4 linked regions of the Astyanax mexicanus genome follow. The protein of the gene in region 1 purifies or fractionates together with the protein of each later gene. This does not show direct contact. Links are inferred from orthologs where the notes say so. Each region holds a gene or a part of one and is shown in the gene's direction. Other genes may lie near its edges. The genes, in order: ubxn7, cul2, ufd1l and klhdc3.

Region 1 (7,090 bases):
TTCTTTATTTTTAGCTAAGGGTAGCGACCCTGCAGAGTGTGATGTTACATTACTCTATAAGGGAAATATTTAAATGCACTCAATCACTCACTCGCACACACACTTACACACACACACATATGCTTTGTGTTAGCACACAACAGAATTAGGGCTGGCCCGAATCGTGTTTAATTTTTTCGTTGTTAAAACCACCCAAAAATCATATTAAGTGTTGGTGACGATGTATTTAGGCCTTTTTACACTAAGTCAGAAATGTTATAGTTGCCAAAGAAATGCACGTCAAAAATTTCACTCAAAAATCATATTAATGATTAATGATATTAATGTATTTAGGCCTTTTTACACTGAGTTAGATTTTTACAGACCTGAAAAATGTGTCAAAATTTAAAATCAGATTTTTACAGACAAAAAAATGTTCATTAAAATTTAAAGTCAAATTTATACCAACAAAAAAATGCATAGCAAAATTTAAAGTCGGATTTAAACAGACAAATGATGTGCGTCAGAATTTAAAGTGTGATTTTTAAAGATCAAAAATGTGCATTAAATTTTACAAAAAAAAAAATGCACATCAAATTTAAAGTCAGATTTTTGCAGGCATAAAATGCATATCAAATGATCAAATGATGTGTGTCAAAACTTAAGGTGTGACTTGACCAACAAAAATGACATAAATGAATTAAAGTCAGATTTTACAGGCAAACACATAAAATTAATAAACGATATCTTGAGAAAGCATACATTTAAATTCCTAGTCAAAAATGTATTAAACCTAAAAATGCATCAGACCTCGATTTGGCGATTTTATATAGATTCAAAACATGACTTTTTATTACAGTTTGGTTTTCATATATGAACTTAGTAGATTCTGAATTTTCTCCTAATTCTCTTAAACTCTTTCAAGAACTATAGGATGAGCCCTATAATAGTAAAGTGGTGTTAAATAAGGGTGCGAATGAACTAAAATAATTAATTTAGTTGTAAATTACAACCGAATATTCGACTGATTGCACGATTTGGGCCAGCCCTAAGCATAAATATGTTGTTTTAGTTTGGTACCAGATCAGAAAAGAGGGTATTATTTTTATTAATTTATTTTTCAGTAACCTCTCTATGAGATTTAAGAGTTTTTGAGCTGGAAAAAGGTGGAAAAGTGTATAAAGCAGGTGTTTTATTAAGGCTGCGCTCACTTTGCATGGCTGAGAATTTAGCTAGATAATTAAAATCACCCGAATAATCGCGTGGTGAGCGTTTTAATCGACGGTTGAATCGTAGCTAGTTAGCTAGCTAGCTAACGCAAAGCTAAAACGCTAAAAACACACACTTTTGTGGTGTTTGAGTGGATTTAACCAGGTTTTTTGGTCGTTTTCTTATTTGTTCAGCTGTTGAGTCTTAATTGAAGGTTGAATGAATCGAACATTTTCTATTTTTTACCTAAATTAAACGATTTGGAAGTTGTTAGCATCGTTAGCTTCTCACACGAATTATCTTTTCCACCTTAAATTCTGCCGAGCTTACATTCTGGCGCCTGCATTTAAGGTGGAACGGATAATTTGTGTGGAAAGCTAACTCCAGCTTGAGTAAAACTAATAATTAGGTCAAAATAATCACTTTAAATCAAATTTAAAAGCTACAATAATTATTTTAAAGATGTTTTAAATCAGGATTAAGCTGTTCTGGTTCGTTAAGACATCTGTATTTAAAAGCCAGATTTTTCTTTAAATTGAAAAAACAAAACAAAAAAACAGAAAACTGTTCTCTATTCATCGATTAAAACGGTTTAAAATCAGTATTATTCATTAATGCGATTTTAACCAAAAGATTACTGAATTTGCGTATTATTTAGATGTTTAAAATGTACAAATTGTAGCTTTTAAAAATATTTAATAGCCAAAAAATGTGAGCGGGTGTTGATAAAGGTCAAAATGGGCATATACATACAAGAACTTTTATTTTGGAAATTGTAAAAAAAATAAAAAATAAAAAAATTAAGCTGGAGGGTCTTTAGCGAATAAGTTAAAAGTCCCCGTTAAATTGATTAAAGGAAATGAGCTGGGTGATGAATGGTTGCGCTGGATCGTTTAACTATAAGAATTAATGCAGTTTTGATCTTTAAAAGAATAGTTTGGGCCTTTTTTTTTTTGCAAATGCTATAATGTAGCCACTAATTTGCGAAATATGGTAATTGTACCAGTGACGTCATGCTAATTGGTGGCTGCTAAGGTGTTACATTAGCATGTTTTGCGCAAAAGCTAGTCCTTAAAATTGTTTTATTTTTTTTTTCAAGGATCTACGTTAATACAACTAAAACATCGCAGGCCGTTCCTTCCTCAAACACACCAGTTGTATTTAAGATCTGTTCGATTAGTGTTTTTTCCAGACTTTTATTATATTATTTTATTTTTTATTGTTTTACAAGTGCTCGGTTTGACTGTTTTGAACTGAATGTATTATAAACAACGGAATAATAAACTTAATTTGAAAAGTGATCATATTTGTTTGCCGTGACTGTCATTTCTAATTTTATAATACTGTATTTAATATATGTAATATTATCCAATATATATATGTAAAACATCCAATCCTATAATCATATAATATGGTGTAACCAATTTATTACACACAGTGCACAGAGCACTACTTTTATATTACTCTGCAGAAGTATAAAATTAACTGCTAAACATGAGTGAGTGAGTAAGGGTTCTTCACAACTTAAAATAGATTACTATAGGTATTAATAGGATGACAGAATTGTTTTAAAAAAAGTCCCTATGATTTTGTAGGAATGTAGAATTCACATTTTAGAGCTTTAATGTTTTAATGTTTTTCTAAATTCATTTTTGACTTGCATGGGTGATTTAATAAACTAAAATGCTGTATAATAAAAGTAGTTTACTGTCTATACTGCTGAACAGTAGTCACAGTATTTACTTTACTAAAAATGGCAAATGTGTAAAGAAAGAGTGAATTACAGCAGGACTTTGGGCCAAAGTCAGAAGATTATTAATTTATTATTTATTAGTACATTTATGTGTTAACATTGTTATTGACAGCACTTATATTTATTTGTCTATTTATTTATTTGTGTTCATAATAATTAAATATATTCTACAGTCAAGTAAGTGTTGGAATTTTAATAATAAGTTGCATTATTTGTAAAAATGTATTACCATAGACTGTAAGCAGACAGAAAAAATAAACAGCAGTGAGTGATTGAGTGAGTGGCGGAAAAACGAAATGTAGTATGTTACTGTGAAGATAGATAGATAGATAGATAGATAGATAGATAGATAGACAGACAGAGAGACAGACAGACAGACATGGTCTTATTTCTCATCTGATATGAGGAAGCAACTTATTTCTGTTTTTTACATGGTATATATTGAATTAAATATAATTTAATATTATATTATTATAATTTAATAATATAATAAATAAGCCAAAGGTCAGATTATTATTATTTTTTATTTGTAAATTTGATTTTATGGATAAAATATTTACCACATTAAAGGTATTTATCAATAATACATAAATATGTATGTTTGGGTTAAATGTTGTTGGTCAGATGATAAATAGGATAAATGGCCTATACATAACTCCAAATGTTATTTGCAGGATTTATCACCGTCCTCTAGTTTGTTACTGTGAAGTGGTGGAGTTGATATACAGCAAATAGCCCTATTTGTTTGAGTAATGTTCGAATCCACATTATGGCAAGAAATACTCAACTTAGCTAAGAAAAAAATACTTTAAGAAAAAATGTCAAATGTCAGTTAATCCGAATTTTACATGAAAGAATTCATGTAAAAATTCAAGAACTTTGAAAGTATCCTCACCATCAAAAAACGATGAAAAGAATGATGAAACTGGCACTCATCAGGACCACCCCAGGAAAGTATGGATCAAGAAGGATCATTTATCAGCCTCAAAAACTACAAGTTAACAGCTTCCTAAAGTAAAAAAAAGCACCTAAACTGCAATTTCTTTACAGTTCTTCACTACATTACCCACAATCCCCCTGCCGTGACGAACGCCACCGTGTCTCAGATAGGGCTTGTGATTGGCCGGCTGCGCGCATGCGCGTGTTTGGGTTGTTGACAGTGAGATGGCGGCGCTCGGAGATGCAGCAGCGCCGGGTCTGAAGGGGTTAATCCAGCAGTTTACCGCGATTACAGGTAAATAACCGGGTTACCGGCCGCCGCGGGGCTCCGGCGCGGGGCAGCGGGGTCCCCGCGGGGCTAGGAGCCGCAGGGCGCGGGGTACGGGCCGCCGAGCCGCCGCTGCGCTCCGGTTCCCTGCAGCAGGCTAATGCTAACATGCTAAGTAGCTTAGCACAGCTAAGCTAACCAGCTAACCCACACAAACACACAGTGCAGAGTACAGTTATTATACATTATATAGTGAATAAACACAGTATTTACAGTATTTTTTACAGATTAATACAGATTAAACTGCAGTACAGCTGAGTCGGAGGGGGTAAAATTAACCCCTGCTTTAATTTAAAGCTGCAGATCTGCAGCCTGAACTGGAGAAAAAAGGAGAAATGCAGTTTATCTGCTGTAAAGTTGGAGATCAGTGATAATCAGAGCCTCTCCGGGCTGCAGTTCAGCCTATTAAAGCTTATTTACCCGCAGAAATCTGTACACAAGCAGTGCTGTTCCTACTTTTAATAAAATAGGTGTTTTTAATAAACAATAAATAGTTTTTGTATGTTTTTAAATGAAGTTACAGCTTTCTTCTCCTTATGGAGAGTATTTTGTAACTGCTAAACATGAGAGAATGAGTGAGAGAGTGAGTAAACTATTTATATTACAGTATAAATATGAAGTACTCTACCTTCTGAACTTCTGAGCTGTAGTGAGACAGTGCACGATGATATCAGAATTATATCGGTATTGGTACTTGCTGACCTGTTTCTTGTATGTTGATTCTATCGTTTTATTTAACCTGATAATTTAATCAGAAATGCAGTTTATCTACTGGAAAGTTAGAGATCAGTCATAATCAGAGCTTCTCCAGGTTTGGTTTTAGTATGTTTTTTAAATTAAGTTACAGCTTTCTTCTCCTTGTGGAGAGTATTTTGTAACTGCTTAACACGAGAGAGTGAGTGAGAGGTGAGTAAACTATTTATATTACAGTATAAATATGAAGTACTTTACCGTCTGAACTTCTGAGCAGTAGCAACACAGTGTTTACTTCGCTAAAATGGAGAAATGCAGGTTTTCTCATTATATCAAAGCAGAATTCCCCAAGTTTCTAATAGAATTTGTGCTTTTTGTACTCTTATAAAAATACAATCTTTGTGTAAATTATTAGTTTTTTTTAATTATAATTTATTAATGAATGCACGATGATATCAGAATTATATCGGTATTGGTACTTGCTGACCTGTTTCTTGTATGTTGATTCTTTCGTTTCATTTAACCTGATAATTTAATAAGAAATGCAGTTTCTCTACTGGAAAGTTGGAGATCAGTCATAATCAGAGCTTCTCCAGGTTTGGTTTTAGTATGGTTTTTAAATGAAATTACAGCTTTCTTCTCTTTGTGGAGAGTATTTTGTAACTGCTAAATATGAGAGAGTGAGTGAGAGGTGAGTAGCCTATATATATATTACAGTATAAATATAAAGTAATCTATCTTCTGAACTTCTGAGCTGTAGCAACGCAGTGTTTTCCTCACTAAAAACAAAAAAATGAAGAAATGTTTTCTCAACACATTAAAGATGTGATGAAATCTATAAAAAATACCTTAAATAAATTATTATATTTTATATTAGTTTTATTATTTTATTTGTTTTATTAATGTTCTGTTTTTTTAATGAATGATGATATCAGAATTAAATCAGTATTGGCCAATAATTGCTTTTTTTTTGTCATTCTTTTTTTTTAATAGCAACTGTGTGTGTGTGTGTGTTACTTCATATTTCAAATTTCAATATAAATGAAAAGTAATCTACCTTCTGAACTCCTGAGCATTAGCGACACAGTGTTTACCTCGCTTAAAACAAAAAAAATGGAAAAATGGGGAAATGCAGTTTTCTCATTCTCATTATACTAAAGTACAGTTACCCACAAAAAATATATAGAATTAGTGTGCTTAATAAAATACTTTTTTTCATCAGTAAAACACCCCCCCCCAAAGGACATAAAGGACCATGGCTGGGTTGCACTAATTTTACACAAGTTCTTTCTTAAATTTTTATCAGTTAACAGCTGTGCTGAACTCATCAAGAGTTAATTACTTGAATTTCTTGTCTCTTAATAAAGTGTTTGAGAGCATCAGTTAAAGGAAAGTAGTGAAGAGGTAGAGTTACAGGTATACAGTGAGTATTTGAGTAATGTTCGAATCCAGGTTATGAGAAGCACTAAACTAAACTACTCAACTAAGTAAAGAAAAAAATGAAAAATAAAGACCAGTCGATCCAAAAAGAAGAATTTCAAGAACTTTTAAAGGTTCAGTCCACCACAAACACCATCAAAAACATTATGATGAAACTGGCACTCATCAGGATTGCCCCAGGAAAGGAAGAGCGAGAGCGTGAGTACTCTGTTGTACAGGATAAGTTAATCAGAGTTACCAGCCAAGTTTACTACATGATTCCTTATGTGTTATGTTGATTATTGGTTATTTTAAGACTCCAGATGGCTAAACTGAGAATTATTAGTATGTAAAACGTTCCCCAGAATTTAAACAAGAATCTGATCAGTGTGTTTTCTGTATTTTTGTGTTTTTCTCTGTGTTCAGGAGCTACAGAGAGCGTGGGGAGGCACATGCTGGAGGCATGTAATAATAACCTGGAGATGGCGGTCACCATGTTTCTGGATGGAGGAGGAATCCCTGAGGAACCCAGCACCAGCACCAGCTCAGCCATCGCCTCGGGCAGCAGACACCAACACACAGCAGAGTGAGATACTGACTGAGAGGAGATATTACTACTGTTATTATTAGTTTTATGATACTGAAATAAGAAGGATGTAACATAAATAAGCCTTAATTATAGGGATGCAACGGTACAGTGTTGCCACGGTTCGGTTCGTATCGCGGTTCTTGAGCCACAGTATCGGTTCGGTTTCGATATATATCAATAT
Region 2 (7,124 bases), on another chromosome or scaffold:
GATGTTCAGTATGTGTCACTAAGAGACTTAATGAGTTAGAGTGAAGGACAGTGTGCTGTAAGTAAACTTCCACAGCTTTTTTGCACAGCACACATATGTCACCAGACGTATCCACTGTGAATAGAGTGTACAACAATGCAAGTGTTTAAAGTGTTTTACCCTGCACTTTTAGCATATGGACTTTAAGCAACTTTTTACAGTGTTGGGTAAATCATGCTCCTGTCAGAGGCTCTGTGCTCTTTCCCCTAGATCTACTAATCTACTAGCTAGTGCAGTTCAGAGTGCAGATATAACCCACTGCTGCTGGGGGCTGACTGGTCCACTGTACATTTATAACTATAGGTGCGCAGAAAAACACTGAAGCTACTCTGTAACAAGTCCTGTAACTAGTTAGTTTGCAGCTGGAAAGATCATGCTCAGAATAATCTACTGTTTCACATAGTAAAACACTAGCTATAATATCAGAGGAGTATCAAATGTAATATAGGAGTCTCACAGGTAAACAGCTATAATATCAGAGGAGTATCACAGGTAAACAGCTATGATATCAGTGTAAAATCACAGGTAAACAGCTATGGTTTAGAGGAGTATCACAGGTAAACAGCTATGATATCAGAGGAGTATAACAGGTGAACAGCTATGATATCAGAGAAGTATCACAGGTGAACAGCTATGATAGAGAAGAAGTACCACAGGTGAACAGCTATGATATCAGAGGAGTATCACAGGTGAACCGCTATGATATCAGATAAGTATCACAGGTGAACAGCTATGATATCAGAGGAGTATAACAGGTGAACAGCTATGATATCAGAGGAGTATAACAGGTGAACAGCTATGATATCAGAGGAGTATAACAGGTGAACAGCTATGATATCAGAGGAGTATCACAGTTGAACAGCTATGATAGAGAAGTATCACAGGTGAACCACTATGATAGAGGAGGAGTATCACAGGTAATATCAGAGTATCAGAGGAGCATCAGACATAATATCAGATGAGAATCACAGGTAAACAGCTATGATATCAGAGGTGTACTAGAGGTGAACCGCTAAGATATCAGAGGAGTATCACAGGTGAACCGCTATGATATCAGATAAGTATCACAGGTGAACAGCTATGATAGAGGAGGAGTATCACAGGTAATATCAGAGTATCAGAGGAGCATCAGACATAATATCAGATGAGAATCACAGGTAAACAGCTATGATATCAGTGTAAAATCACAGGTAAACAGATATGGTTTAGAGGAGTATCAAAGGTAAACAGCTATGTTATCAGGTAAACAGCTCTAATATCAAAGTGGTAACACAGGTGAACAGCTATATGATATAAGAGGAGTATTACAGGTGAACAACTATGATATCAGAGGAAAATCACAGTTAAGCAACTATGGTTTTAGAGGAGTATCGCAGTTAATATCAGGAGTTTCACAGGTAAACAGGTATGATATCAGGGGAGTAACACAGGTGAATAGCTATGCTATCAGAGGAGAATCAAATGGAAATATTAGAGGAGTATCACAGGTAATAACTGAGACAAATTACAGGTAAACAGCTATGATATCAGTTAGTGTCACAGGTAATTTAAGAGACAAATCACAGGTAATATCATAAGAGAATCACAGGTGAACAGCTGTAAGATCAGAGAGGTTTAAGATCAAGATAAATTCTTAGTTACACGAGTTGAGATCCTCCGGAAGGGCCCGAGCTGCTGCTGCCCGCTGACCCGGCTCTTCAGCTCCCTCCCCGCGGCTCTGAAACCCGCCCGGACCGCAGCTACAGAGGCCATTCTGCAGCTCCACTGACCCCCAGCTCAGCGACCTCCACTATCAGACGGGCTGAATGGAAGTGAACCTGAGAGCGGGCGAAGCGCCGTGTAACCCGAGCGCTGTATACCACACAGCGTCAGAGCCGGGGCTGCCAGATCCTCTACAAACCCTCTTCTCTAATACTTTCTTTTTCTTAAGGATTAAGAAGATTATTAAAGATTTTAATAGTGGATATAGAGAAAAACATTGAATAAGAAGAGGTGGTCAAACGTTTTACTGGTACTGTGTATGTATGTATGCACATAACAAGTTTAAATTGCGTTTTAAGCTAATGTAATTTGTGTTAAAACCTGGAGTGTAGCTCGGGGGTTTATCTACACCTGGCAACCCACAACATTTGTTTTGGTCTGTCGGTTCGTAATATCCGCTGACGACACGCATAATGATGCGGAAGAAGTGCTCGGTTTCTCTCCGCTCTGAGAGAAATTCACACCTTTATTCTGTGTATTATTAATATATTACATTTAATCTGGAGCTGTGTGTGTTTCAGAGCCTGTAAACTGTCAGATATAGAGTGTAGACAATGGGGATCACCTCTCTCTCTCACACACATACATATATGTTACCATATATTTTTTTTTAACAATTCTAAGGCTTTTTATGAAATATTCTACTAATTATTATATATTCTGATATTCCAAAAATAATAAATGTGGGTATATTCTTTAGACTTTTTCGGCACATTTAATTCTGTGCCGAAAGAATAAACAATTAACAGCAGTTTCAAGAGATTTGTTTGTTTTTTTTAATTCAATGTAACAACTTGTGTTTTGAAGTAAAAAAAAAAAAGAAATATTTGCATTCGCATAGGAGAAACAAATGGTAATTTTTTCTAAAAGTTAAAGACCGTATTACAATAAAAAAAAGATAAGCCAGGTTTTTATCACAGTTACCTCAAAATGTAAAATATTGTTTATATCTTATTATATATTTATTAGAGAATTGCATGGGGGATATTTAAGTGTATTTCTTTTACTTTGTTTTATACACCTTATATAAAAGGATTCCATCATCCTTTACCTCAGTGAATATTTTCAATAAGAGCATTCCAATTAAATTGTACACACAGAGTGATATTTTATTATTGATGATAATGATTATGGCTTACAGCCAATAAAAATCCAAAAATCAGTGTCTCAGAAAATTAAAATATTATATAAGACCAATTGGTACTTTTGGCAGTGTAGGCAGTGTGCCAAGCCCTGCTAGAATATAAAATCTGCATTTCCATAATTGTCAGTAGAGGGAAGCAAATCAAGTCAAGTAGTTTTATTGTCAATACTGCATATGTAGAGGACATACAAAGAATTGAAATTACGTTACTCTCCTTCCCAAAAGTTACAGAAAGTTCAGAAAATAAGATTATAAATATAAAATAATGGGAGACTCTATATGTACAATACAACAAGGACACAGAGGCAAAAAGACACAAGACAATAGTGCAATAGTCGTGAGGGGGAGATTAAAGAGGAAATGACAGTACAAGTATAAACAGAACCCGTATAACAGTAGTGCAAATATAGTGGTATAATTGCTTAAGGCTGACAAAGGGAATAAGTGCACACAGTTCTTAAATGTTCAGGGGGAATTAACAGTGGGTATGACAGTGAAGTCCTTCCAACCATCACTGATCATCAGTAAATTTAGCATTTCATTTGGAAATCAAGGGAGCAAAGTCTGGAATAGTGGAGAGGCACACAGTCTAAGCTGCTTGAGGTCTAGTGTGAAGTTTCCACAATCAGTGATGATTTGGAAAGTCATGTCTCAATCTGCTGGTGTTGGTCCACTGTGTTATATCAAGTCAAAAGTCAGTGCAGTGTTTTCCTGGAAAATTCTACAGCACTTCATGCTTCCCTCTGCTGACAACATTTCATTTTCCAGCAGGACTTGGCACACTGCCCACAAGTGGGTAAGTACCAATTGGGTAAACCATAATCATCAACCATAAAGAAATAAACACACATTTTGAACTGAATTACTGAAATAAAGTAACTTTTCAACAATATTCTATTTTTTTGAGATGCACCTGTATTTGCTCATTTCTTCTCAGTTTTTTGATGATTGACGTCATGCACCTCAGGTCGGCCTCGGAGCAGAGCGGTGTGCGCGAAGGTGAACTGTCCTGAGCTGGATTCCGTAGTTTTGGACAAAACCAACTCGAAATGGGGGAGTTTTAATAGCGAAATATTGTTAAATCTGTCTGTTCTTACACAGAAGGGATATTTAACACTCTGTACATCAGCTTTGTAGTTAACTTAAAATTATTACAGGTTCCTGGTGTGTGTTTTACAGCTTTTTCCCAGTTCCGCAGTGTGTGTGGAGTCTGACATCCCTCCAGCTGATGGAGTTGTGCTGTCCTCCTCTGCTGCTGCTGCTGCGATGGAGCAGGTCTGAGAGAGAGAATCGGGCTTTCTGACAGCGGGGGAACTTCACTGAAACCGAGCGCACTGACCCTGAACCCCGAGGTAACCACCGACACTCAGCTACACACCCAGAACCGCGCCTTTATCCGCGTGTTTAGGGCGCGGGCGAGCCGGGGCCGGGTGTCGGGGCTGCGGGAGGAGGAGCTGCGGGCTGGAGCTCCTCTCTGGATCGGAGGCTCGCTCGGGTTTAGCCGACTAGCTGCTGTTTCGGTTCGGTTAGAGTTCGGATTTCAGCGCTCTGACTAAAAGGACGGTCCAGTAACTTTACTTGGGGAGTAGCTTCCTTGTTTTGGGCCTGTCTCAGTCTTTACCTCCACTAAACTCCAGCTCCAGCTCCCTAAACAAAACCGAAATCACTGAAATGTCAGACTAGCTGAAGCGGCTATCCGGCTAACTAGCTAGGCCTCCGTACTGTTAGGCTCGTGACTGTGTTTTTATAAGTAAACGGGTTTAAATCCCAACGGGTAAATCCGGGTAATTACCCAACTGTCGGCTTATAAAGCTTCACAGAAAACTCATATAACCAGCGTTAACTAACTGTATAACGAGCCTTCCTTAATATAGCCACAAATGGAGTTCATCAATCTGCTGGCTGGCTGGCTACTTACTTAGCCCTAGCTGTAAGACATGGTGGTGGTCTGAAGTTTGCTCTGTAGTTCTACTGTAAGACTGTAAGACTTCAAAATCTGCTCAAATCAATTTTACCCTGAAATGTTGTGCTTTTAATACTTGGTGTGTAACTAGCTTAATTATATTTAACTTATACTATTGCACAAGTTATATTGGCTTAAAAGTTACTGGTTGGCTTAACGTTATCCTAGCTAGATTTAGTTAACTATTTAGCTAGGTTAAATAAGTCAATACTTAAGCCCAAAATGTGATAACAGATATTTCATATATTGTAACCTTAGCTGTAATCTTAAAAACATCTTTTATCTACCATTTTTCACTTTATGACAATGTTAATCTGACAGTTTTCTACGTTGTGTCGAGTTTCACTAATAAACAGACCGATAGAAATGCTTTTGAAGATGCCTAGCCCTAGCTGTAAGACATGATGGTGCTCTAAAGTTTGCTCTGTAGTTTTACTGTAGGACTGTGAGGCTTTACAATCTGCAAATTTCAAATTTTCCCCAAAATGTTGTGGTTTTAAACATTTAAAGGTGTGTAGGTTAGTTATATTTATACCATTACACTAGCTATTTTGTGTTACAGGTTTACTAGTTAGCTAGATTTAGCTAACTAACTAGGTTAAATAAGTCAATAAGTTACTTAAAACCAAAATGTGATATGTCATGTACTATAGCTGTAATCCTAAAAATATCTTTGACCAGCCATTTAAAATTTTTGACAAAAAAGTACTCATATATTTTAAATAGCATTTTAAAATGCATTGTCCTGTTTTTTTTTTATGAAAACAAAAAAATATATATTCAACACTAAACTTTTTAAATGAGCCAGCTAAACAATGAAAGTGCCTTTTTGCCTTTTTAGCTGAATGATTTTGGTTGGTGAATATATGGGGCTTCCCTACTTGGAATAAAGAGTGTTTACATTGACTTCCATTGAAAGTTGTAAAGTTGTCATGGTTCTGAAGTTTTTCAGAACTGGTAGAGGCTTCCCAAATTAGACTTAAATGTCTTGACTCCCTTTGAGGAGATATGTTGCCCTAAATGTCCTGCAGTAAGTTTACTGAGTTTTACTGCTCTTTTGCAGTCACCTACAGAGCACTGCTAATAGCATGGTAATGATGCAGTGTTCTTTTAATTTATTTATTTTATCACAAATGTATCTGCATTCTTCTGCAAGGGCTTAATTGCTGCACTTCTGATAAAAAACACTAGTCAAGTGTGTATTTATATACTATATAGAAATGAAACACTGTTACTTGTATATTCTTTTCTACATTTTTTACATTATTTGACCCTTGCATTTAATAATTCTAGTGTGTACAAATTTCATGACAGGGTTCCCGCAGGTCCTTAAAATATGCATAATTTAGTTCTTAAATTGTCTTAACATTTCTGTAAATTTACTGTAGGTATTACATTTTTAGATGGTGCGTTTAATGCCAGTGGGAAAGCACTAACATTAGCGGAGAGCTTAGTAACATGCTAACAGGTTCTGCATCACAGTGGAACAAAATTGATGAAGAAAATTGATCATAAATGGGAAACGTTACATTTTAATTTTTAACACAATAAATTATTTTCTACTTAAGAAGTTATAACTACATTTTTGGGCCTTAAATATTTATAATATAATATTTATAACATATTTACTGAGGTCCTAAAAAGGTCTTAAAAAGCGTTCAATTTGACTTTTAACAAAGAGCAAGAACCCTGCATGATGAATTGGCCTCTTTAAAAGTAAAATTCAGATTCAGTTAGTGAATCTGTCATCTATTGATTGTTTGATAAGTGTAGATGCGCTGGTTTTATATGTACCTATATGAACCTAGAGTCGCTATGCCCCAGTGCTAAGCCTCGGTTCTAAAGCCATCCTCACTGGGCTGTAGAGGAGTTTTCTGTACTGAGGGAGCTCCATTCAATACTTTTGGGATAATCTGGTAGAGCTTAGGTCAGGCCCAAAATTAGGCTACAAGAATTAATTCTGAGTGACTTTATTCTAATCTAATATAATTTAACATGTTTTAAGATAAGAAAATAAATCTTAACAAAATATTTTTATATTGAGCTTATAGTCTATGTGCAAAAACAAACAAACAAACAAACAAAAAATTATTAGGCTATGCACTGCACAGCACTGCAAGTAAAGTGCGTACTACGGACAAGTGGAGTGTGCACTTTTTTAAAACACAGTTTTAAACCTTGCTAGTGATTATCATGCCATAGATTTATATAAAATAA
Region 3 (7,912 bases), on another chromosome or scaffold:
TATGACGCCCCCCTTGATCCCGAGGTTTCTTCCGCAACTATTAATCAGAAACTATTAGGAGTTGTGGAGTACCACTGGGTTCTATTGTTTGGCATATAAAACTGATGTTATTAATTATAGAACTGTAGTTACAGGGATGAGGAACTGAAGTGTGAGCTGACAAACATGCTCTAATTAGTTACGCACAAACAATTCTAAAGTTACATAAATTACAGATTAAAAACATCAAAGCATAATTTGTTAATATTTTTGAGCATGAAGCAAATTTTCTGATGTTATCTGGCGTACCAACTTGGGACGCTTGCTGAACCCCAGGTGTGAGAACCACTGGATTTGAATAATTATTTTCCTTGTAACATTGAAGCTGCACCATCCTGTAATATTTCTTGAATCGCTCTTGTACACTCTGCTTTTGGAGTTCGTTTTTACACTCCTTTGTGCAAAACAATGTTTCCAATCTTACCCCACCAAGATTCATGACTGCATTTTTCACAATACTGAACAGGATACTCATATTCGAAGGAGATCCTCATACAGTCGATAGAGAGAGAGTTCTCCTCATCCTCATTGCGATGGTTATGACGAGAGACATGCCTCTGCAGAGTAGCAATGTCTGTTACGTACTTCATACTGAAAAAGAGGAAGGTATACACCACCCGTTACATTTTAAGAAAAATATGCCAAATAAACTGTGAAAAGGGGAATACATAAGAATTAAAAAAAAAAAAAAATCCTTACTGGGTGATTTTATCATGAACCCACTGATCAGTTAGACCAATAATACTCCACCTGTCAAATACACAAGAGTCACAATCCCATTTCTATAGAATGAATACTGATGTATTAGTCTTTAGTTGTCCAAACACCTACCAAAGCATATCTTTCGTGTCTTTGGTCATAACCCAGGCCAGCTCAAACATAACCATAGAAGCCTAGAAAAAAGACAAAATAATTAAGGCACTCAAACACTAAGACATAATCCCAATATTTAACAGCCCAATGTTTACCCACATCAACAAAAAACAATCACTGTTTTATAAAGCAAAACATAAAAAAAAATATTTTAATGGTTTTTTTTTTTTAATCCCATTTTTCTCCAGTTTTATTATGCTGATTACCCCACTCACTTAGCTGCACCACCCCAAAACTAGGAGGATAAAGGTACCAACAGCAAGCATGAACCTTTTCGGGCATGTTAACAATTAATTGAACCAATTTGGATGGACAGAGAGAAGCATGTTTTGAAGAAAAAAAAAAAAAGGTACAATGAATTTTATCTATATTGCTAACATCAACATATTAGTAAAATCCTAGTCAAGCCATCATATCATAGATGTGAATACTCACCGAAGTTCCGTGATACTCATACTGCTCGTAGTCAAACAGAATCTCCCGCCTGCAAACACACAGGACCATTAGGAGGTTACAAGCATGTTTGTATAAAAATAGCATTATGAACTGGACTACTTGACCAGTAATAGATATATGGCATTTATTCAGTCAACTCAGCATAACTGACCTGCGAGCTTCCCACTCCCTCTTTGCACGCTGCCTTTCGATTCTCCTCTCCAACGCACCCTGAAATAATAAAGGTAAAACTGAAAATCATTAGAATGGGAAGGAATTACAAATATGGGAACACATTTCTTCAGTGACTGGGTCCAGAAGAAGAAAACCTGCCTCGTCAAACCGCCGCCGTTTACCAGATGGCTCAGACCCGCCATCGCTTTCATTCCCAGAATCCCCTCCATCACCGTCCTCATCCTCATCTTCGTCATCACGGAAAATGTCATCATACGAGGGCACTCCAAGATCATCATCTTGTTTAATCAGCAGCTTAATCTAAAGCAACAATACATTTTAATGACATAATTTAAGATCCATAAAACACAGATTAGAAAAAGCAATTTAATAAAATTCTATTAAAACAAACAAAAGAAGGAGCACCTGGGTGTCATTGTAAACATTGACAACATCAACAGGCCTGTGGGTATCACAAATGAAGAAGACAGAGTCCTCTTCAGGCTGTAAAGTCTCAAGCAGGTCCACGTTTGCCCCGCAGTTAATTAGGACAAAATACTGGTACTGTAAAGAGAGAGAAAACATTTAAAACAACATACAGTACCCTTAATGTTAATGACTATTTAAAGATGTTCACAATGTTGACTGACATTTTGACATGCATCAGTAACTACATGAGAAAAACAAAACAATACAAACAAATAATCATATACTGTCAGATACTAAGTAAAGGGTCTGTGAAATTGTGAATGTCCTTCTAGAATGACCAAAGTGATCTACCTATCTAGGCCTGTCAAAATTTCTATTGCGATAAACAATGCTAAAAATTGTAATTTTAAGACTATTTAATTGTCACTAAAATAATGATAACAGAATAACAAACCAAGTATACTCTTATTACTCCACAAACTTATTACTACAAATTTAAACATTTCTTATTTATAATCTAATTTAACAAATTTATGCTGCAAATTTTATTTTATTTATATAATGTTTACTTAAAATTATAATCAAATTTATTATAAATCTCTCCTTATGTTCAAATAAAGTGATTTTGAATTGAATGTACATTTATTGTAAAATAAGTTGATAATGTAATTATCGTGAGAGGCCTGTATCTACCTTATCTATCGATCTATGCTTAGAAAAATGTATTGTGTAGCTAGTTTTTTGTTTTGTTTTCTTAATACAATAGAATAGTCATGTGACATAGGTAAGTTATGTTTTCTCTACGTAGAACATGTGTACACCTAGCTAACGTTAGCTAACAATAACTAACACTGTTAAGTTACCTGTTCCTTATGTTCCAGGAAAGCAGTGCCAAGGTCCTGCCAGCCTGTCACAGGAACAAGAGTGTACTGGACATGATCACAGTGAAACAAGGCCTAGAAAAAAACGATAGGGTTAAAATGAGATAAATTGACTTTAACTGTTTAACTACCTTTAACTACCTCGGATCTACACAAGGAATTTATCCCGACTAGTGAACCTGGTTATTTAGGCTTGTTACTTATGAGCTGAAAGACACTAACCTGCAGTATTTTACAGGCACACAGCGCGTCAATATCCGCGGACACAAGCAGGGCCACTCGCTTAAACACAAAAACATATTAAAAATTAGACATTAATGTACCTAAATACACATATAAACTAACTCACACACCACAGAATTCAGCGAGTCAACGTCAAAAAAGGGTAGATAGTTAGCTAGGTAAGGTACAATCACGGTCGCCCGGCTAACACTGCATAGCTAGTTTAACTAGCCACCGGGTTAAACTCGACTAAACTCTTTTATAACACGTTAAAACGAGAAACGCCTCACCTGATTAACCACAACATCATAAAACTCTTTCCTAATATCGGTAACAAACATCCTAAAATCTCAAAAACACATAAAAATCCCCTCAGTCCCGCTGCAGGCTCGGTAAATCAGCTTGTTTTGCTAATTCTCGCGACTTTCCGTCCAGAAACTCTGGCGCCAAATTCGTTCATACAAGAGGAGGCGGGCTTTGTCGCAGTGTCCAATCAGGTGACAGCTGTTACATCTTGTCAAATCTGCAAGCCCTAACCAATCAGATTCACTCCCTGAGTTAAAGGAGGCGGGTCGCACAGATTGTCAAACCAATCACTAAACTGCTCGTATTTAATGGCTCAAGGTGACATTTTGTACTCGATTTTATTTTATTTTATTTTTTTACGCAGCATCGTTGAAACAGATACAGATATTTGTTACGACAAATATAATGAGTGATGTTTTATGCTTTTGTTTAATTTATTTACAATATTGCATACATATTTGTTAACGCAGTGTTAGTCAGTGTCAGTGTTAGTTTAAAGAGAGCCAGTATGTAGAGAGCCTGGCCACTTCTTATCGCCCTATTTTAATCTGATTATTGGTACGAACCGCTAGAGGGAGCCAGCGAACGAGACCTCAATGGACGTAGAAAAATATAGCTAAACGGCTAAAAACTCAAATTACGTATAGTAATTAACTACCTTTCCAATATGTTTCCGTTCATTTTAAAAAGTAAAATAAAGTATTGTTTTACAGAAAATTGGATTTAAGCAGTAAAGGCCCTAGCATTGCTGCTACTGAGTGCTGACTGGTGAGTTGCTGAGATGATGCTGAAGTATCAGGCAGAGCAGGTTTAAAGGCTTATAACTGGATTTTAAAGCTTTAAAAGTATATATATATATATATATATATATATATATATATATATATATATATATATATATATATATATATTTATATATATATATACTTTTAAAGCTTTATATATTTTATATGTTTGCTTAAAGCACGTGTTCACATACCATATATATCCAATAAAAATAAACGAAAGTAAATAAACAAACAGCAACAAAAAATATGGGATTCTAATAAAACTTAAATATGCTTAAATATCGTTTATCGTTTTAACTTTAATGTCTTTGCTGTGAATTTTACTTATTAAATCTGATGATCATTTTAGGGAAATTATCAGCACAATTTAAAATTATTTGGTAAAGGTAATCAATTTTAAGTGTATTTCTTGTTGAATTTATTTTATTTATGGAGTCTCTGTTCTATGAACATGAATGTATATGAAGTATATGAAGTTATGAGCTATGAAGTTATGAAGTTATTAGTTAAATTTGTTAGTTGATTAATTAGATGTGATGTTAAGATAAATGTTTTGCTCAGTTTATTGGTTTTATGGTTGTTTGTTTTATTTTGTATTTCCAATTTGTGTATAATATATAAATAGTATATAAAATGTATAAAATATAAATAATAAATATAAAATGAGCTTCTGTTTGGAGTAATTTGATGACGGCATGGCGTTGCAGTGATCTGATTGGGCGGAGGTGTTTTGTTGTGGGGAGGCGTCACATCCTGTATACTCAGCGTTTCCCTGGGAAGAGGATAGTAGTGTGTTTTTGTACAGTAGCGTTAGTCTGATTTCTGCAGTATTTCTGAGAGAAGTAAAGCGTATTCAGACAACATGGTGGGTGTTGGAAGCTTTGCCACGTTTGTAGCTGATGAATGCGGGTGGTGTGCTGGTTTAAATAGTTAGTTGTGTGTGTTAAAGAGCCGGTAAATCTACGCTAGGCTAGCGACTAAAGCTGCACTGTCACTGTCAGCCCTTTTGTTTTTGTGTTCTCAGTTGAAGCTGCTCTGTAGTTTTACTGGGTTTGGTGAAACCGGGTGTTCAGTATTTTAGTTTCAGGGTGTAGTTGAAGATATGAGGTTCCGTAGCTGTTAGTTGTTGTGTGTAATATTATAGGGGTGAATGTAATCTAGCGAGGTTAGTCGGTAAGGCCTGAGATCAGCCCATCATTTCGCTAATCTGCTTTATATTGTTTTTACGTTTTCAGTTTTCCTTCAACATGTTTGATCACCCGATGCCTCGGGCCTTCCAGAACCGCTTCTCCACACAGTACCGCTGCTACTCGGTGTCGATGCTGGCGGGACCCAATGACCGCTCAGACGTGGAAAAAGGAGGAAAAAGTATTACATTTACAGTGTTTTTGTGTGATGATTCTTTAAGACATGATACTATATTCTGTGTCTTATTGTAGCGAATGTTTCAAAAGAATTCACATTCATTACTCAAGTAGAAATATAGATACTAGGGTTTAAATACTTCTGTAGAAGTTAATTAGTATCTCCAGCTGGCAAACAACCGACCTTCAACGGTAAAATGTGGCTGAAATATGGTTGAAGTAACGTCTGTTTTAACATTTAATGTTAAGTGGTTGTGAAAACGTTAAAATTTACACGTCGAATCAACATAATGTCCTTAACCTTCTGCCTTTTGAATTAGCATTTTACATTTCATCACTATATAAAAAAAAAGGATGGAAGGATGAAAAAGTGGTTTTGCTTCCATTTGCAGTAATTGCTTTTTAATTTGGCATCAATTCTTCGCCATACCTGGGGAAATGAGTATGTTCTATTAGTCTTACTGTTGTGTTTTTGAGATTAGACGTTTAATCTGATTGATAGTGGTGGGTAACATCCTTTTTACTCAGCTTTAGTGCAGTGATGTAAGTTTATAGTTCACTATAAACTATAGTTAACCATAGAATTTTCTAGTTTTTATGAGCTATGGTTTATGAAAGGTTGAATGTACACGCCATATCAACGTTGATTCACTTTTCAAAATCAACACCAAATCCAAGGTTGATTCAACCATAACATTAATGTTGATTCAATGTTGAAATGCCAGCTGGGATCAACTCAAGCTTTTTACTAAAAGTAAACGTGTAAAAAGAACTGAATTCAAAACTACTTAAAAGTATGAAAATAAAAGTAACATAAGGGGGAAAATGCATTAAGGACAAAAGCTTAGGCTGTGCCAACAGGGGCTTATAGTGCAGAACCCCATGTGGGTATGTCTTAGAATAGAGCTCCAAATAATGTGTTCCTGTATATCTTTATTTCCTTCACAATTACATGGTACAGTAATCTGTTGTGTTTGTGCACTTTTGGAGACACAGAGAACTGTGAATGGGCCCATTATCCTTCTCACATTGTGTGTCTGTCCCCAGCACTTTGTGTATTGTGGTGGCACTGCAGATATTTGGAGTTTTGAAATGACATTATGGAACCTGTACGTTTTGTCCATGGGTTCCATGTTGGCCTCACATATTAATGTTAGTGATGGGGCAAGGAGGGTCTAAACATGAGCTCCACCTGGGTTGTACACTGCACATGGGGCCTACTCATGTGATATTAATGAATCTAATCATGATTGATAACAACAAGAATAACATTTATTATATGGTATTTTTATATATCAGTTGACACAGTATAGGCATAGGTGTGTGTGTGTGTGTGTTTTATGTATATCCAGCGTAGGCTTAGATGGGCTACTGTCTCTTGATTGTACTCCTCTTGAGTGTGTAATACTCTCTTCCTTCTCTTGCCAGTTATAATGCCCCCATCAGCACTGGACCAGCTTAGTAAGTTCATAAGTTAATACTGTTTTCTAATACGAGACCACTGTACCACTGTAGTTGTATGAAATGATATGATGTACTGAATAAAACCTTCCTTATCCTTAAACAGGCAGACTTAACATCACATACCCCATGCTGTTCAAACTCACCAATAAGAACTCAGACAGAATGACCCATTGTGGTGTCCTGGAGTTTGTTGCTGATGAAGGGATCTGCTACCTTCCCCACTGGGTAATAAACTAAAACAAACACTTATTATTCTTGACATTATAGCCGAAGAGTGTAGTATTTTGTAGGTGCGTAAACTACTGTGTGTTGTTTTTCTTCTGATCCGTGAACTTAATATTGTCTTTGTCCCACAGATGATGCAGAACCTGTTATTGGAAGAAGGAGGTTTGGTCCAGGTTGAGAGTGTCAATCTCATGGTGGCAACTTACTCCAAATTTCAGCCTCAGAGTCCAGACTTCTTGGACATCACAAACCCTAAAGCTGTGTAAGTAATCCAGTGTAACAACATACTGCACTCAATAGCTAAGCTGTAAAGGAAATTAAAGGGGCACCAACAAAGCATGTAGAGTCTCTGTCGCTACATCTTTCTTAAACATGACCGCATATCTTTTTACTGCAGTAATATTGTGGAGAATGAAAAGGAAGCCTTTTTTGTTTGAAGACCCTGATGAAAACCCACTTTTTATTATGTATCCTGAAAGTGTGAGGACCCATTACAAGCATATTAAAGCAGATAATCAAGGGCAGGCTTTGTGAAATGTGCCCCACTCAGCTATCCAGTACTTTAGCAGATAGCTAACATTTACTACTGGGATACTGAATATCACTTCTGTATACAGCTCTGGAAAAAATAAGAGACCACTTAAAAATGATGAGTTTCCTTAATTTTACCAAATTGAAAATCTATTGAATATAATCAAGAGGAAGATGGATG
Region 4 (7,379 bases), on another chromosome or scaffold:
TTTCATTACAATAAAAAAGCTGACAGATGTTTATCCACTTAATTACAATTGATAATTGATGTTTAGTATTGCTCCTGTTTACCAGTTATTCAAATGTTAAAAAAAACGATTTTCATGGAGTGTAGATGTAAAATGTATTGTGTCTCAAATTAACAGTTTAATTATGATGTGAGCTATTTGTACATGTAGAAGAATCGTATATTATATATAACAAACATATATTGGAAAGCACAATATATATAAGTATTCACAGATATAGTCTGTAGTTTATGTAATATAATAATAATGGATCTAAATATACATTATATTTTATATATAAAACTCTATGTTTATAATCTGTATATTTGCAGTGAATTAACAATATGGAAATACAGTACCAGACTGTAAATTTAATATTAAATATATTAAAGCTATACAGGAACACATGCAGAATTATTTTGTAAACAAAAAGTTTTTAACAAACCAGAATATGTTTTCTACTTTAGATTCTTCTAAGTGGCACATTTATCTTTGAGGACAGATCTGCACACTCTTGGTACTTTAATCTCAGTGTCTTCATGAGGGAGAGTCACCTTGAATAGTTTTATCAGCGTTTGAAGGAGTTTCTGGAGGTGCTGAACAATAGTTGCTGCTTTTCCTTCACACTGTGAAGCACCAGCTCATCCCAAATCACCTCAAATCACCATCTCAGTTCATCAGGTTTATATCAGGGGATTGTGGAGGACAAAAACATATTTTGTTTACTATGTATCCTGTTATTGTTTTTATGTTTTTACTAATAATACATAATAATCTACAATATACAAAAATGATTAAATAACAAAACAGAGAAAAACATTTCTTGAGAAGGTGTGTCCACACTTTTGACTGTTACTGTATATATATAAAATATACTGCATTATAAACATGTTGCATTAGAAGCAGTGAGAGTCAGATCTTATTTATTAATTAATTTGTTTATGGATTTGTTTATGGACAGTACTGTATATCTTTCAGATATACAGACTGCCTCAGTAAGCATGTGTATCTGTAGGAAGGTACTGATCATTAATCAGTAAAGCGTCACACCGGGGGAGAAGGTGTGAGTTCACTGTGAAGCTTCTTCATCAACTCAACAAAAGACTAAACTAACATTAGAGACGCTCCTAATGGCCTTCAGGAGAAAGAGATTCTGATCTTCAGCTCATCAGCAGAGGAGAAAGAGCATCTGCCTTCTGATTAACAGCCCTGTTACAGAGCTTAATCCTCTCCAGCAACACACAGCACTGGGGTGTGCCATATCAAATTGTAATTTTTGGACACAAAATAAAAAAAAACTCCATATTGTAATATTGTGACATTATTGAAAGCCTTAGTTTTGATTAGTTATTATTGATATTTACTGTATTTACTGTGCTTGCTTGTGGTTTATATGCATGTAATAAACATGCTGCACTTTAGATTTGGGGTAGATTTTTGCAGTTAAATTATTGTGCAGCGTATTGTTATTGCATTTTTTATTGTGTTTTTATATTCAGGGTAAGTCAGGGTAAGTTTGCAAAACTGTTTACAAAATGGATAAATGCTTGTAGATTTGTTTATACTGAATATATAAAACATACGTATATTAATAAAACATATTGTTTTTGCAGTAGTATATTATTAAAATAATGTAAAACAAAAATCAATGTTGTGTCATATTCCTGAGAACATTGTTACCTCAAAAATGCCCAATAACAATAATAAAAAAAAACAATAATAATACAATAACAATGAAACTTTATAAAAGCATTTTAACTCCTTTAAAACCTAAAAAAGCTCCTTTTACAGTTTCGCCAGAGCTACTTCATTAGGATTGTATGAGTGACTAGAATAACAGTGCTATCAGAGACAGTTTTTGATAGTATGGGTGTGTCTGAAATGTATGAAATGCTCCCTTCTCAGGGAGGATTCTGAGAAAGAAAGGCACCCAGTCATGCCTGAATCAAAGTTTATTTATCTAGCCTTCTGTTTTATTGGGTAATTTTAATAACAGCTAAGGACAACACAGCTAAACTGTGATAATCAGGCAGTGAATCAAATTCTTGCAGATTAAAAAAAAAACATTTATAAGTTTATTAGAAAATTGCAGATAAAATGCTGATAAAATCATAGTAAAAAACATAAAAATGAAGCATTCAAAAAGAGTTACCAAGAAACAGGCAAGGGTCCAAACCAGGAAGTTTAAAATTAGCATGGCAAAAAACATTTATGTCTGTAATGTTGGCTTACAGTGGCTTAAAATTGTGGCTTACAGTATCTCAGACAATTAGAATATTATATAAGGCTTTAAAGAGCTCTCTCAGTCAAGTCCTTGACAGCATGTTGTGATTCTTCCCAGGACAGGTTTTTTTTATTAACCTGGATATTTTACAGCAGTTCAAGCTTCCCTCTGCTGACAAGGTTTATGCAGTCGCAGGTTAAGGGCGGCCAACGGGGGCCAGTGCCCCTCCAACAACACACTTGGACCCACCCTATTGCCCCCCTAAATTAGGTGTAAATCTCCTCATTTCTGCAAACACGCCACAACAAAGCAGCACACTAATGTAAATACTAATTTTCCAATCTTACTCTTTAGCCAATTTATACTTCTGCATCAAACCTACACCAAAGCCTATGTGTACCCTATGCCATAGCCTGGTGCTCACCTCCCCAGAAATGTAAATACATATTAAACAACCCAGCAGAAGCCCACACCTTCCCGTCTGTGCGTTTTATACTGAGGAGCGACGCAGAGTCATGGACACATGAACACAGAAATATAAATGTGGGTTGCATAGTGTGCTAGTGCAGGCTACGACTTATGCAATGTGTTGACTCACCACAGTATAAGTATAAACCAGTCTTTAGAAACTTTACCGGGTTTCCCTTGTGCAGCACACAGTGTTTCAATTGATTCTTTTGAATATGAAAACTTGAATATGAAAATGCAAATTACCTGTTTCACTCCCGGGTAGTGCTGCAGTTTTTGCACTAAAGCTTGGGTCCTCTATGACAGACTAAGACTAAGTACTCTGAATGTACTTTTCAGTTAAGGACAGCAAAGGCCCTAAAACTGTGAAAATATGGAAACTGAAAACTGTATAAATAAAATGTTGAACGATATTGGATACATTCTTTTTCTTCGTTATGCCTTCAAAGCACTATAGGCTAGAAAGAAATCGGCCCTTCTAACATAATCACTGGCCCTGGACTAACCCCCCACCCCATTTAAAATGGTCTAGAATTGACACTATTTTCTAAGATGCTGACTTTTGGGTTTTCATTAGCTGTAGGCTGTAATCATCAATACTAAAATAAAAGCCACACAAAATAAATCACTCTGTATGTAATAATCTATTTAAAGTTCTTCTTCTGCTAAAATCCACTTTTTCTTGTTCTTTGTAAAATATAGGTCTCTATGAGTTGTATATGCATGCTGCATATGAAACTATTCTTCAACTGCAGTATTCTTCTGTCTGCAGTAGCTAGTAAAAGAAAATGTTTAGATAAACGAGTCGATCATGTAAAGCAATGTGTCTACATCAACTCAAGAGTTCATGGCCTTGGTGGGTCTGAAGAGATGAGAGTGAACACCTAGTATCTCTGCTGCAGATCTATTAGCCAATCAGAGGCGATATGTGTTTGCATGTATGAATATTTATGAGCAATATCCAAAATTCTGTCTGACTTTAGAGACCAATAATTCAGTGAAATAAAGCAGGGCGATACAGAAACACTGGAGCACTTTTTTCACAACAAACGGCTCACATGGCATTCATTCATATTAGGTACCACTTTAAAATAAGACTACCTTTATAAAGGGTTTATAAATGGTTTACAATTAGTTTATTAATGGTTACTTATTAGGTTTTAAATGCCTTAAAAATCATTAATGATCAGTTCACATGATCAGTTCATGATCAACACAAAATTAGAAAGGACAACGATATAGATGGCTGTGGGTTCACTATTTGACAAACAACAGGTCATTGTTGCCCTTTCTAATTATGTGTTATAACTGATTATTAATGATTTTTAAAGCATTTACAACCTAATTAGTAACCATTAATAAACTAACTGTAAACCATTTATAAACCCTTTATAAAGGTAGTCTTATTTTAAAGTGGTACCGAAACCACAACTAGACATTTTAATTATTTATAATTTAATTATTGAAAAAACGATGGAATGAGACCTTTAATATATAGAGTTTCACTTTTATACTGATTGTACGAAATAAATGAACTTTTGTGATTTTTCTACGTTTTTTTGAAGATGCACTTGTTGTCCTTCATATTCCCTATGCCCTATTCCCTAATCCCTACACCCTAGCTGCTATTTTCTAGTGTCCCTAGTCCCTGTATGACCCCTGACCCGCTGGGGGGCGCTTTAGCGCAGCTGCTGCTGGACTCTGCTCCGGTTTTCTGCTCGGGTAGAAGCACATAATGAAGGTAAATGTAAATGTCACCTTTTTATCGAGGAAGATTAAGCTGTAGTTTACATCGTTACAGCGGGAAGTCCTCGGGAAAGCGGCTAATTCGGGTTTTATTCGCTGTGAGATCAGGAATCTGGCCGAGAAATATAGGCTAAGCTATGCTAAGGCAGGAGCTGGAGTGTCAGACAGGCAGGAATACTTCTCTTTAAACTGAGTTAAATCTCAGATAATTCACTAGAGAAGCTGATATTGATAAGAATATTAATCACAGACACTGGGAGTGTGTGTTCAGGCAGTGGGCTGGGCTGTGGGGGGGTTTGAGCAGGAGTATTTGGGGTTGTTTACTATTTAGCCTGTTGATGCTAACGTAGCTAACTAGCTAACCATGGCTAATGTTGGTTTATAGCTATGCGTTTGGAGGCGTTTGTTTCACTGATGTTTTGCTGGTCTGGAGAAAACTGAGGAATTTCTCGCGCTGGCGAGGAGATAGGCTAGTTAAAGTCAGTAACTGACTCAGTTTGAAGCTCTGAGAACATCTAGTTAACGTTAGCTTACTTCAGGTCTGTTTAAGCTAACGCCTAGCTTGGTTAGCATGGCTAAATCAGACAAAATCAGAGGGCAGAGTTCAGCTTTAACATCAGCAAATTCATTCGCCTCTACCTCAGATGGTGCAGAATTTAAGCTGAAATGGCATATGAACCTTCTGTCTAACAGAAGACTAACTGAATTAATATGCAAGTCCACATGAAATCTTTTCCTTCACCATTTAAGGTGGAACTGAAGGTTCTAAGTGTGAGCTGGTTCTCTGAGCTGATAAGGTGAGGAGCTGAATGCTCCAATAGAGTCCAGCAGAGTTTGTGATTTTCCTATTCAAACCAGACATGTATAATCTAAAGTACTAGAGACCCATTTTACCTTGAGTGAATGTACAAGTGCTGTATCAAAAAAGTTGAAGAAAAAAAAAACTTGAGTAGAAGTTGAAATGTTCTTTAAGCTCTACATTTAAGTGAAAGTACTAAAGTATTCAACATTTTTTAAGTATTGCAAGTAGTTTATTGTCAAATGTAGTACTGAAATACTGCATATAAAAGTACAGTACTGTGTTATTAGTGTAGTTATTACAGAAAGCAGTGGAAAGTTCTCAGAGTAAAAGGCAGAACAGGACCTTCGTGGTCTTCTTATAAGATCAGCTTGATCGCTTGATTCACTCAATAATGAGGAGCTATTATAATACAGCATTTTAGTACTTAAGTAAAGTTGTGAAGTAGTTTTTATTCTTTGTTACTATACATCTCTGCCTCAAACACAACATCTAAACCTGGTCACTATCAGCTGATTTGTTAAATCAGGTCTGTTTAAGCAGGAGTAATTGAGAATCACCAAATTTCACAGATTAGAATCTCCAGGGCTGAGGTTCTTCACCCTGCAATACATGCATGACCAGGGCCCAGTTTCCCAAAAGCATCTTATCAATAAGAACATCTTAATCTAAATCAACCCATAGTGACGTGTGTGTGTGTGTGTTTGTGTCGCAGACCCTTTAAAAGCTGTGTACATTTTTTACTTTAACTCATACAGTCCTTAAAGGGATAGTTCGGTATTTTTGACATGAGTCTTTATGGCATCATCATAACCAGTGTCGTGCATCCACACTGACTTACCCCCCACAGCGTCCTGTGAGCCGAGTTCTTGTCCAGTTTAGGTCAAAGCGAAAGTAGTCCGGCATGTTTGCTGGGGTCAGGAAAATAACTCCTTTTTCTTCCCAAAGCAGTACGTGTTCAAAAGAGTGATTTATTTATATCACAAAAAACTAACCATGCAAAAGTCACGCCTCGTAAATCACTTGGGTCCTACTTTCTCTCATTTCGTATCAGTGCGCGTCATTCTGACAGCGAGCTGCGCACGCGTCAACTTGTTTGTGATGCAAGCAGCTGCCCCGCTGACATCCTCATCAATGGATAGGTCTTGCATCTCGGGCATAACTAAGTCCCACTCGTGGCAACAGTAGCATTCCACTTCGGTCTGCATTATTTCGCACTTGAAACAAGTGCACCAGGATTTGTCGGCCACCCTGGGTATCGCAGCTCCAGCAGTGGCTCCAGTTTCATCTTCCACCACTTCTCTGTCCACCCTCTCTCTTTCTGCCCGATCTAATTCCATTTGGCGAAGTTCAACATCTGTATACTCGGGTTCATAAAGATATCCCCGTGGCTCTGAGCGGTGATCAATGTTTTCCTCGTCACTCTCGTAGTCAGACATGTTCTCGAGGCGAGAAGTAAACAAAGCGACCCAAACACGTAGGCTAGCTGTCAGGTTGCAGCGCTGCGCGCATTGATATGGAACGAGAGAAAGTAGGACCCAAGTGATTTACGAGGCGTGACTTTTGCAGGGTTAGTTTTTTGTGATGTAAATAAATCACTCTTTTGAACACGTACTGCTTTGGGAAGAAAAAGGAGTTATTTTCCTGACCCCAGCAAACATGCCGGACTACTTTCGCTTTGACCTAAACTGGACAAGAACTCGGCTCACAGGACGCTGTGGGGGGTAAGTCAGTGTGGATGCACGACACTGGTTATGATGATGCCATACAGACTCATGTCAAAAATACCGAACTATCCCTTTAAGTGACATATACTGGACATCACGAGAGCATTACTACAGAACAGTGTGTAAATGTGTGGTCACGTGACCATAATCTTTGCTTCTGCAGCTCTGTTCTATTAGGTTCCATCCATTTTAGTAATTCAAATGCTTTAACTAAATGTTTTACATTCTACAAAACTAATTTTGACAGATTCTAAAGCAAAATTGTTAAAATACAAGTTTGTTGTATCATTTACATTATGAGAAATTAATTTTTTAAATATTTGAAAATATTTTGCCTATGATAAGAAGCATGTTTTATCTTATGTTTTAACATGGAGAGAGAAAAGAGAAAAGAGAG

What was found.
Region 2: the proteins of ubxn7 (region 1) and cul2 purify together in Homo sapiens (affinity purification with mass spectrometry; 6 studies listed by BioGRID and IntAct, with this or other methods). This does not show direct contact. The link is inferred for Astyanax mexicanus from reciprocal best matches to the Homo sapiens genes UBXN7 and CUL2.
Region 3: the proteins of ubxn7 (region 1) and ufd1l purify together in Homo sapiens (affinity purification with mass spectrometry; 3 studies listed by BioGRID and IntAct, with this or other methods). This does not show direct contact. The link is inferred for Astyanax mexicanus from reciprocal best matches to the Homo sapiens genes UBXN7 and UFD1.
Region 4: the proteins of ubxn7 (region 1) and klhdc3 purify together in Homo sapiens (affinity purification with mass spectrometry; 3 studies listed by BioGRID and IntAct, with this or other methods). This does not show direct contact. The link is inferred for Astyanax mexicanus from reciprocal best matches to the Homo sapiens genes UBXN7 and KLHDC3.

The regions. Positions count from the first base shown.
Region 1 is NC_064411.1:57,533,927-57,541,016, reverse strand, and holds the start of ubxn7 (UBX domain-containing protein 7), read left to right. Parts: upstream 1-4,068; 5' UTR 4,069-4,105; coding exon 4,106-4,175; intron 4,176-6,746; coding exon 6,747-6,906; intron 6,907-7,090. UniProt on the Homo sapiens protein: Ubiquitin-binding adapter that links a subset of NEDD8-associated cullin ring ligases (CRLs) to the segregase VCP/p97, to regulate turnover of their ubiquitination substrates.
Region 2 is NC_064413.1:45,837,247-45,844,370, reverse strand, and holds the start of cul2 (cullin-2), read left to right. Parts: upstream 1-4,099; 5' UTR 4,100-4,296; intron 4,297-4,772; exon of another isoform or gene 4,773-4,925; intron 4,926-7,124. Other genes in the region: rmdn1 (regulator of microtubule dynamics protein 1), read right to left, coding at 1,681-1,791.
Region 3 is NC_064419.1:34,876,327-34,884,238, forward strand, and holds the start of ufd1l (ubiquitin recognition factor in ER-associated degradation protein 1), read left to right. Parts: upstream 1-4,893; 5' UTR 4,894-5,009; coding exon 5,010-5,012; intron 5,013-5,382; coding exon 5,383-5,515; intron 5,516-6,939; coding exon 6,940-6,972; intron 6,973-7,078; coding exon 7,079-7,200; intron 7,201-7,331; coding exon 7,332-7,462; intron 7,463-7,912. Other genes in the region: cdc45 (cell division control protein 45 homolog), read right to left, coding at 511-630, 739-789, 871-932, 1,348-1,396, 1,520-1,578, 1,681-1,842, 1,948-2,085, 2,814-2,906 and 2 more. UniProt on the Homo sapiens protein: Essential component of the ubiquitin-dependent proteolytic pathway which degrades ubiquitin fusion proteins.
Region 4 is NC_064414.1:11,024,618-11,031,996, forward strand, and holds the start of klhdc3 (kelch domain-containing protein 3), read left to right. Parts: upstream 1-4,363; 5' UTR 4,364-4,451; intron 4,452-7,379. UniProt on the Homo sapiens protein: Substrate-recognition component of a Cul2-RING (CRL2) E3 ubiquitin-protein ligase complex of the DesCEND (destruction via C-end degrons) pathway, which recognizes a C-degron located at the extreme C terminus of target proteins, leading to their ubiquitination and degradation.